Drosophila melanogaster: one gene and its partner. The protein of the gene in region 1 purifies or fractionates together with the protein of each later gene. This does not show direct contact. Each region holds a gene or a part of one and is shown in the gene's direction. Other genes may lie near its edges. The genes, in order: rdhB and CG31200.

Evidence for each region.
Region 2: the proteins of rdhB (region 1) and CG31200 purify together in Drosophila melanogaster (affinity purification with mass spectrometry, with the first as the bait; one large-scale study listed by BioGRID). This does not show direct contact.

Annotation. Positions count from the first base shown.
Region 1 is NT_033777.3:22,349,594-22,356,764, forward strand, and holds rdhB (retinol dehydrogenase B), read left to right. Parts: upstream 1-2,102; 5' UTR 2,103-2,300; intron 2,301-2,651; exon of another isoform or gene 2,652-2,717; 5' UTR 2,718-2,736; coding exon 2,737-2,877; intron 2,878-2,937; coding exon 2,938-3,103; intron 3,104-3,155; coding exon 3,156-3,282; intron 3,283-6,098; coding exon 6,099-6,234; intron 6,235-6,355; coding exon 6,356-6,532; 3' UTR 6,533-6,671; downstream 6,672-7,171.
Region 2 is NT_033777.3:20,743,534-20,747,313, reverse strand, and holds CG31200 (uncharacterized protein), read left to right. Parts: upstream 1-1,975; 5' UTR 1,976-1,990; coding exon 1,991-2,042; intron 2,043-2,110; coding exon 2,111-2,227; intron 2,228-2,349; coding exon 2,350-3,035; 3' UTR 3,036-3,080; downstream 3,081-3,780. Other genes in the region: CG42322 (uncharacterized protein), read right to left, coding at 11-493; CG31199 (uncharacterized protein), read left to right, coding at 3,549-3,729.

The DNA of each region.
Region 1 (7,171 bases):
GTACTTTAAACGCATTTTAACGTGGCCATTGTTTCCATATACAACTGTGCTATACGTTTTTTATTCGGTTTAAAAGCCCACATGGCGGATGAGCGATATGCGTATAGTAAAAACGTAAGCGCTAATTGCCAAAAATGCTGGTAAATGCAATTTAAGTTTCGCCTCCGACAAATGTTATTGCAATTGAAAAAGGAATAAGACCGGATGCAGTGGATGGAAAGTCCGTCGAGGCCATGAAAAATGCATATTTGGGTTTAACCGAAAAATAAACAGGTCCAGAGGGCGGGGGCTAGTACTGCGGGGGGGGGGGGTGTAGCAGGTCAGGCTACACATGTTTGCACAGAAAACTCTTTTCCACACCCCCAAAATCGTTGGTTGGTTTTTTGCATGCCACGGGGCGCTGAGCCGAAAAGTATGCAACAATAAATTCTGCCACGACGGGAGCTTTTCATTTATTTGAAACACCCGCCCGGAAAAACCACTTCCTCGCACTCTATTTTAGCAGTACCCAACTACGGTGTACAAGTTGGCCAAAAAAGGAAATCAAATCGGGTAAGCTGTTGCCAAACTAAAAACAGTTTGTGCGCCAATTTTCTATCAATTTTCATTGGCACTATCAGATGGAAACACTTTAAAAAAATGTTTGTTATTGGGATTATATGTTATATTAGATTTCTAGATACTTGGCCTGCGCTTTCTTTCTTTCATCTAGATCTTGATTCTTTTAAATCGATTTTTTATAAAGAAATTAGGACAACGAAAAAAGAATGTACTCTTTTTCAAGTGAAGAAAGTGCACTTAAAGTGCCAAGAAAGTATTTGCATTGTACTTTTGAATGCACCCCAAAACGCCTGGCACTTTGATGACTCCATAGACAAGACTGCAGCATCTCGTTCTGGCCACTTTCGGTTTATGGCCCATAAATTCCGTCGCCTTGCCGGGCTGATTCCCCAGCTGCATTGCAATTGATTTGCATGGCTTGGGCGGCTGTTAGTTAACAGCCAGCACAACTGTACGAGATAAATGCTAGGGAATTTATGGCCGGCCAATCGAAACAATTGCCTGACTTCTGGCCGATTGCAGCCATTGAGCCACAAAGGACTCATTCTCCTGCACCTGCATTTTATGGCTGTCAACTGCAACGTATACAAGCTCCTGTCCCGCACCACAAATCCAGTCTAAGTGCATTTTTTGGTTGCATCTACAGTTGAGACTGACATGCAAATACTTTCCACTAGCTGAGATAAAGTTGATTTTTGATTTGCCAGCAGAGTCACTGAGCCATAGTCAAGAAGCCAGCCAAGTGGCATTTTCCCCCCCACATCCACATTCACTTCCCATTTGACCAAGCTGTTGTTTGGTAATTACAAAAATACGATAAGGCTCCGAGCAGCTCGTTCAACTGGAAAGCGAATTCGAATGGCCGGGCGAATATTCATGGCCTGCTGATGAATCTATCAAAATATAATGGAATATGTTATGCCAGATTATCGATAATGCATATTTTCGTGTTTGTCGATTCGGCGATTGATTGCTGGACAGAATGGTTGCTAATATTTGATAAGCAAAAACGGAATAAGAATTGCATATGAATATTAAGTGAGATGCTAATTTCACAGGCTTAAATGTATTAAGCTAGATACATTTTAATTTGTAAAGTGTTTTTCAAAGCTTACAAAATTTCCCTTTTCATTTCTAACGCAATGTTCCCTAAGAAATAAATAACTACACAGGCTAAAATCATAACAAATTCCTAAATAAATATTCAAACCTCATTGATAAAATCGCAAGAATAAAACACTTTCATAAATAAAACAACTACGTGTTAAGAGTATACAAAGATCCGAGTGTTGGAAAAAAAGAAGCTTTTCCACTGTTGCCAAGCCATTTTCCACCCACTCCAAGTGCTCGGTTTTGTGAATAGAAATATGAAAATAATCCTCAAGTGTCAGCCCGAGAGATTAGTGACAACAAACCAAAGCCGCACAGCGAAATGAGATTTTTCATTTGGTATCAAATATCCGCTAAAACCGACCAGCAAAAACCCAAGCAGACAAAAGAAAATGCATAAAAAAAGATAGCTTAAACTAGAAGTGAAATGCAAACGAGTGCAATGCTCCATGAATGAGAAAAGGGAAAGGGAAAAGCGGAGGCTGAGGCACAAAGTGCAACTAGGCAAATGCAAACTACAAACTACAGTCGCACAATGCAAGTACGAACAGTACGACAGCCAGTAAATTGCAATCAATTAAATCCGACTTCAGCCAGAGCGACGCGTGCCCCATGATCCAAGCCCAATGGTAAAAGACGCCGACGATAAAAATAAAGAACACTCTTTAAAAGCCTATATACTAAATTAATGTTTCCTTAATTCTTAAAGCCTTGTGAGAGATGTTTGGCTTAAACAATAAGATATGTTTATCTACATCACAAAATTTCTAGTGTCTTGAAATAAAAAAAATATACTTTGAAGGACCCTAATACTTTCTCAATTTCCTCTATAAACCCAGCTTTGATATAATCCTATACTTTAACTATTAAATAATATGTAGAGTGCACGGCATTTACTATGTTTCCATATTAACAAGACCCACTGTGCCACTGTGTTGCAGCTGTGATAGACGTTTCAGTGATCGCCTTCAGCTTCCAACATCAGTTGTCACTGGCAATCGAAGCCATAAGGTTATCTTTGCTTAAACAACATCTTGTCTCTTCAGATTTAACACATCTCTGATCATGGAAAATAATTTCTACTGGCGCAACAAGGTGGCGGTTGTCACTGGAGCCTCCGTGGGCATTGGAGCTACCACAGCTATAGAACTGGCCAATGCCGGAATGGTAGTTGTGGGCCTAGCTCGTCGAGTGGAACTCATTGAGGTGCAGACCAATACTAATTAATATACATCCATAGAATACATTTTATGAGACTTCAAACAGGCACTCAGGGATCAAGTGACCGGCGTTGGAAAGATTTTTGCCCGGCAATGTGACCTCAATGATGAAGAGCAGTTGGCCAGTGCTTTTAACTGGATTCGTGAAAAATTCCAGGCCATTCATGTGCTCATCTGCAACGCTGGCATCCTGAAGGCCAACTTCCTGAGCGGTAAGTGCAGCGTAAAGAATCTGAACTGCCGAGACTACATTCCTCAGTTCAGAATCCCCCACCAAGGACATCAAGGAACTGTTCGACACGAATGTGGTGGCCACCGCCAGCTGCCTGCGGGAGGCACTGAAACACATGGCTGCGGTCAAGGTTCGCGGTCACATTGTGGTCATGAACAGGTGAGTGTCCACCATGGCCAAAAGTATATACCGCAGGGCTGGAATGTCCTCTTGAATTTCAAAAGGTTAAATGAAAGAAATATTTTATATATTTCCTATTAAGTATTTCTCAATAAGCATGCAATATTTCTGCTGTCACTTAAGCCTTATACCAAACTTGGGTAAAGTTCAATGACCATTTTGCTTTCCTTTCTGCTTGCAACACTTTGACAGCTCGACTTAATGTTCCTTAATTAAAGCCAATTCCGTAGAAAGTGTTCGTTGCCAACTAAAAGGAGGGAGGCATCAATTGAAAGCTATACTTGAAAGGATTGTCTATTGACTCGAGACAATTAGATAGAGCTACAAAATTAGCACAACTGCAAAACACACACACACACACAGAGGCACAATTGGCTGTTCGGGGGTAATTGTTATCATTTCGGGAGCGCTGTTTACCCAGCTGAAATAGGAAAATTGGGCTTAAATCGAAATTAGTGCAGAGCCGGACAAAGGCAGTGTGCATACATACAGCGATGGAGTTGGAGGTAAATCATTTTCGTACATATTTGCTTTATAGTTTTGCTTGTGCTGGGCAAACAACTGACCAAAAGCTGCTGCCTTGAGTGGCAAAATATTTGCCAAATTATGTCCTGTAGGCTCCATGGTGTTGGGTGGCGGAGTGGCGGATAGTGGGTTGTGTTGGATGGTGGTGGGTGGCTCAAGGGCGGGCTTAGACGAAGGGTTCAGCCGATCGGGGCTTAATGAAAGTGCAAACAATGCAGGCGGTCAGTCAATAGCCGTGTCGCTCAGAGTTGGTCAGCTCAATGCATTTTGCATACGAAAGGCATGCGCTCAAAAGCGAAGGGCTCGAAGTGGTCGCCGCGTTATTTAAATTAAATTAAAAGCCATGCGGCAAACAAACAAGCACAACAGCACAAACACTTATTGATATTTAAATGCTGAGCGCGGTGGGGGCACGCATCGTGTTTTTGCGGTGCGGGTGGTGCATTAAAAGCTTTGCATGGCCAATGTGTTTGCCCAGAACAACAGCAACAACAACTCAATTATTCAACATAATTAAGTATTTTGCATTAAGCCGAATGCGTATTGCATTCGCATTTGCATTTTGCATTCCTCCATTGGCAGTCGTCGATGTGATTTTTATTATTTCATGGAATCCAATGCGTACCGCATTTAAAATCCGCATGTTTGATTTGCGCTATGGCTTTAATTTCAAATTGCATTGATTTAATTTTAATGAAATTTACTTGAGTGCATACGCACACCCACCCAACCAGATAGCAATTATTGCCCATGAGCAAAAGGCAAAATTGAATAATTGCGTATACGCACTGTGGGTGGGCTGACCGGCTTGTTGTGCATGCGTGAGTGTCTCTGTGTGTGTGTATGTTTGGTTTTTTCATGGCTGTAAAATCAGTAAGCATGCGGAAATGTTAAGGCAAATTCAACAAAGCCAACGTCAATCTTATTTATTGATTGGCTTTTAGTTTACGCAAAGATGGCAATTCGATTCGAACAGAAATCTGTGTGCGCAAAATAGATTGCAAGCTCAAAATTGGATTAATATAATGCCTTGAAACGATTTCAGTGACGCTTTATCTTGGTCAAAAATGTTGAAATGTTCATTTAACTATTTTGAAGTAGAGATTCTTGTTAGCTTTGTAGTTCTTCTTTTATTTAGCTGTGTAAGAACATGATATGTAGACTTACCATAGGGAAACCTTAACGAACCATTTTAATATGCTCTCGAGTAACCTCCACATTCCTACCACTTTTTACCACGCAATCGGAAAGTGCATCATCGAAGTGCATTAAAGACACACCGTAAATACGCATTTCCCGGAATTTTCATACGCATTTTTCCGGCATAATGAGCAGCGGACACAAGCGTATTGTCCGCAATCGAATACAATTGAGCAATGCGGACAGGCAAGGAAAGCGGGAAAGGGCAGTGGAAACTGAGACTTCGAACTTTGCAAACGTTAATTAATGAGAAAATGTATTTATTTGGCGGCGTTGCGAGTCAAAGAGAATTCCGTTCTGGAAACGTAGCCGAGGCGTTGCTAATGAGCATGTGACGTTTCGGGGGGCCTGTGTCTGTGTGTGTGTCAAGGGGCTTGACAGGTGGGCAGTGGAAGTTGGGCGGTCGTCCATATGCATTTCGCTTAATGTCAGTGCAATAATATTAAGACTTAATTAATTAAAAACTGCAAGGGTATGCCGGCCGCCCAGCATCTGCAGCAACGTTGGCAATTGTTTGCATTTAATGCCCCCGGCTCAGAGCCGTAAGTACCACCCCGTGCTCTTCCAAATGCACTCGAAAAAAAGGATACTCGAATGAATGCCTTCATAAAAATATCAGTTTAATTAAATTAAATATCTTGTAGCAAATATAAAAACTAGTTGTAACTTATAATTCCCTTATTTTTCCAAAAATTTCGCATTCAATCAAAATATTATAGCACAAGTTTTTAAGTCTTTTCTTGCTTTTTCGTCAGGTGTGGGGGTAAAATTAAAAGAAGTTTACGCAATGTTTGCATAAAATGCACGCAAAAATGTCCCGTCAGCTGCTGACCATCATTTTCCGTAGGTGTTCGACGGCGACTTGTTTTTTGTTGCCGTTTTAAGTGCTTGAAATCCGTTGTGTTGACTTTATTTACCCACGCACACCCGCCGTTTGTGACCCCGCTTTGTCTTTATTTTCCATCCCCGACGCACCGCCATACCTTGGCATGTGGACGATGCTCATGCTACTCCTCCGCCTCCTCCTTCGCTCTGCTCTGGACATGTGTATGGACAACATTTGACAACAGCGTGCTTGGCCATCGGATTCCGGAAGTGCCGGTGCCCTTATTCAGCGTTTATCCGGCCACGAAGCATGCAATTACGGCCCTCTGCCAAACGGTGCGCCAGGAAATACATTTTCTCAAATTAAATATTAAATTAACGGTAAGTTAAATGCAGTGCATACATGGCGCGCCTCATCCTCCATCTTAATCCTCGGGAAATGCGGCAAACATGACGCGTCTGCTCATTGGTTACCCTCTCCATTTTTATCCCTCCATTGCAGAGCATTTGCCCGGGCATGGTAGACACGGATTTCCTTAGTGTTTACTCGCAGGCGGTAGCCGAGCTGCCCAAACTGCAGGCAAGGGATGTGGCCAAGGCCGTGTTGTATGCGCTGAACACTCCCGATGGCGTCCAGGTGGAGGACATCATCCTGCAGCAGATGCGGAAGGTCGATTGAATTTTAGTTTGAATTTCAAGAGAATTACATTTTACCCAAAACGATATTATTTGTACATTTTGTATATGTTCTTCTATGTAATAAGAGAACAAATGTACATATTTTTAAATATAAAAAATTACATTATTGCATTTCAAGCAACTGTTTCGACACTTTATATTCTTTAAGATGTTATCTGTAGATAACATCTGTATTAACATCTTATTACAAATAACATAAAAATGCAATAAAACGATAATTAAACATTTATAATATTTTGCATATTCTCTAATCGATATAACATTAAATGCGTGTAAATAGTTTGGCAACATTATGAATGCATTTATACATTCATTCATTTGAATTGGAATTGCCCGCGCATGTAGTGGAGTTGCCACCTTGCGGTAGGGCTGCCAGATTGAGTCAAAAGACCAGGGCTGTACAGCTATCGCTAGCGAGTACAACAACCACTCTTGATTTGGCTCGCTTCGCTCTAGCAGAGTTATCCACCAAAACATCGATTACTCGTGCTACCCCCAAAATCGATGGTACGAAACAAACATCGATATTTCACAGCTTTCGCTTATTGGTCACACTGGGGCTTATGATTAAAAAAAACTGAACTGACTCCAATAAAAACGTGAGGTAGAAAAAGCGAAT
Region 2 (3,780 bases), 1.6 Mb from region 1:
GTTTTCCCACCTTCCGGGCCAGTTCGGAGCAGCATGACTCCTTGCAGGCCTGCAACTTTCGGAAGCGAAGCTCGGACTCCTCGCCGTGCCCGTTGGCTTGCTGCTGCTCCGTCTGGGTGTCGCTGGAGTCGCCGCCTCCGAAGTGGTGCGCCGCATTGTGGCTGCCCGGTGCGCTCGTTGGTGTGTCCGCCGGGATGATGACCACCTCATTGGGGTCCTGTTGGCTCGACGATATCGAGTCTTGGTGGGTTATTTGCGGATTGCTCGAGGTGAGCACGTTGCTGAACCCGCAGCTGCCCGCTGCTCCGCTGCCACTGCCGCCGTTTTGGGCAGACGAACCGGGGGCCACTGCCGTGCTGCTGCTGGCTCCCGCCCCGCCGGTGCTATTGTTGCTGTACGGTCCATTCGTCGAGGAGTCGCCGGTGACCACCACGGAAGGAGTGCGCACTCTTTTCGGATTGAAAATAGCTGGAATTTCGCCGTCGCGCGTCATGCTATCATCATTACCGAGCTCCTCTGTCGCTCATAGTGATCCGGTCCTGCAAAATCAATAAATCATAAATACCAGAATCTAGCAAGCTTATTCTTTATGTATATTTTTGGCCTTAATATCACCTTCCATACCTAAATGTATGCCTTCACTTTTGAACGCAGAGTAAACTTAAGGTTGAAACTGGACTTGATGTACTTTTTAAAGGAAGCAATAGTCCTCGGCCCGCGGCCTAATAAATGATTCAGTTCGATTCGACCAGCCATGTTCCAGCACTGCTGCAAAGGCTAAGCAGTCTCGAATCAGGCTGTTCACGTGCTTCCAGCGATTAAAGATTGAGGAACACGCAAATGGGGGGCCATTTCTCGACTCTTTACAAGTGAAAGGCGCACCCAAAGCCCACGCAGCTTGTTCAGGGTCCGAGCAATTTGCATGGGCCCCACTTTTTACCACTGCCCTCATCCCAGGATATAGCGTTGGCCAAACTCAAGGCTAGGGCAGCCAAGTTTTACGAGCACCGCCGCACAACCAGCCAACCAACCAACCAACCAAACAGCCTGCCAGCCGGCCGTTCATTAAAGTCCAGACCCGACCAGGAGCACATTGATTGGATGGCCACAAAGGCGAGGGACGGGCTCATAACAATGCGAATTATGAACGCCCCAGCTCAAGCAGGTCAAGTTGAGTGGACAATAAACTGCCAACCGGATCTCGCCGGCAATTTGTAAGCGTTCTTAGTAGAGTGTTAAGTCCAGCCCCCCACCACCACTACTACCACCAGGCCGGATGAGTTACAATGTCCTTCGGTGTCCTTCACCTTCGCATCCCATCGAGCAGCTTGTGCGCTTGCCTTCGATAATCGTATTCTAATTGAAACATTAATTATTCAACCTAGTTGAGGCTCCTAGCAGGCTCCCAGGGTAAGAGGGCGCGAGGGGAGATTCCAAGAGTCTAATGGCTATATAATGAAGGTCCTAATAATTGCCTGTAATTTTAAGCGGTTAAGAATAATATTCCATCGATTTCCAAGCAGTCGAGCAAAACCAAAATGATTTGAAATCCGCAACTCTGGCATTTTGCACAATTATTTTAATATGCCTAATATGGGACTATATACAGCCGATATGCCGTCTATTTGAGTTAATAAAATATTTTAATTTAATTTATGATTGGGGAACTCCAATACTAGTTGTAAGTTGAAGGTGAGTTAGGTCTGTGAGCAAATTTTGTTGGCTAAGAAGTGGCATATCTTCATATCTTAATATCTTTAATATGACTTCAAAGAAAGTAGTCAGACTAAGGAAGATTCAAAAAGATTAAGGTTTACCAAAAATGCTTGATAGTCACACTGAGAATCTTAATAATAAACAACGAGAGAGCGGGAGATTGTTAATTAATTATTCACAGCAAAAGGAAACTGCGCTCTACGCGATCTCATACTATTCAATTCAATTCTGTTCGATTAGTTAACTCTGAGCACTTGAGCACATCGTCATAAAAATGCTTCACAGCGGAAAACTTGTTCAGCTTTTGACTCTGGCTTGGCTAGGCGGTTAGTAAAATTGAAACAGTTGTATGTTTACTACGAGTATTTATTAAAAACGCTATATACGTTTTCAGCATTGACGATGGCAGAATTTCGATGCGGTCGTCTGGATGAAAAGCTATTGTACACCACCAACGAGCAGGCGGAACCCTCCGAGAATCCCTGGGTGGGCATTCTGCTGGAGGATCAGGGTCAGTTAACTTTAGAAGTGTTAACTATGAAAAGCCCCCTTCTAAAGCCCCAAGTTAATAATTAATAACATGACCTATGCTTTTGCTAATGCCCTTTGTGTCCACCTTCGATGATTTTCTAGGAAATCGGTACGAGAATACAAGGTGCTCCGTAGTTATTATTAACGAGCTGCACATCCTCAGTACTGCGACGTGCGTAAAGCGCTTTAGCCAACGATCCGGAGACACCAAAGCCGTGGCAATGTTGGGCGTTTGGGACGAGACTGACTCCCCGGAGGAGGAGCTGTCGTGCAACGACAAGGACTTCTGTGTGCCGGGGCCTGAGCTGTACAAGGTGGTGGAGATCAAGGTCCATCCGCAAACGGACAAGGACACGGGGGACAACGACTTGGCCATCCTTCGGCTGGAAAAACCAGTCGAGTGGACCAACTGGGTTCAGCCGATCTGCTTGGAGGGCACTTCGGAACCGGAAACGCTGACCAATCGCAACCTGCACTACACCGGATTCAACCATATGGCCTCGGAGAAGGGCAAGGGGTTGGCCATGACAGTATCTACTCAAAAGTGCAAACAATTGACATCCTCCAGCGTCCTAGTACCGGTGAACCAGCTGTGCGGCTATCCCGTGAAGAGGACCAAGTTCTATCCGGGAGCACCACTGATGGACATCGATGTGCGAGATGAGAAGCCGCACAACTTCTACCTGGTGGGCATTCTGGTCCGGAACGTAGATGCCGGACAGGCTACCACTCAAGTCTATCAGAATGTCCGACGCGCCCGCTCCTGGATAATGGAAAATTTGAAGTAGAAAGTACAACTTGTTATGTGAATACTCAATAAACTATTCAACATGAGGAAGTAAAATGTTGTGGGTTCAGTGAAATAACTGATGCATCGTGACGGGAACTGCCCAGGGATTCGCATCGGAAACGGGTTTTCGATCGGTAGCCGTAATGTAATCTTACACCATTAATTAGATACGTAGAATAACAGGTAGTTGGAAGAGTTAGTTGAAAATTTTAACAAACATTACACGGAAAGAAATCAACTCATTCTTGGAGAAGGGAAATGTGCTGATCAAATAGTATTAGTAACACTAATAGTAATATTTAAAATCTTAAAATATTTTATATAAAGGTTTCGAAATACACTTCACTATTGATTTCATATATATTTTAAAAAATTGTAAAAACAATTGTATTTTCGTTCTAGTGTTCCTGCTAAGCTCTATCGATCATAAGCTTCTGGGTAAATCCCCTGAGCAACATGCATTGTCTGTTTTTCCAGCTCCCAGTCAGTTGACTTTGAGCTGCGCTTCAGAATGCTTGGTAGAATCGCAGTTTTATTATTGCTCGTCGGTCTTTTTGGCCCGGAAGTTCGGTCGGCGAAAGTGAATGATGACCAGTGCGGTGCATTCGACGAAGATCAGATGCTCAATATGCAAAGCACCTTCGCCATTCCCACGGAGCACCAGTGGGTGGCCCGGATAGTGTATGGCAAGGGTAAGAATCTCTGAGCTGCTCAGTTAATCCGAAATACAACTTCGTTTAATA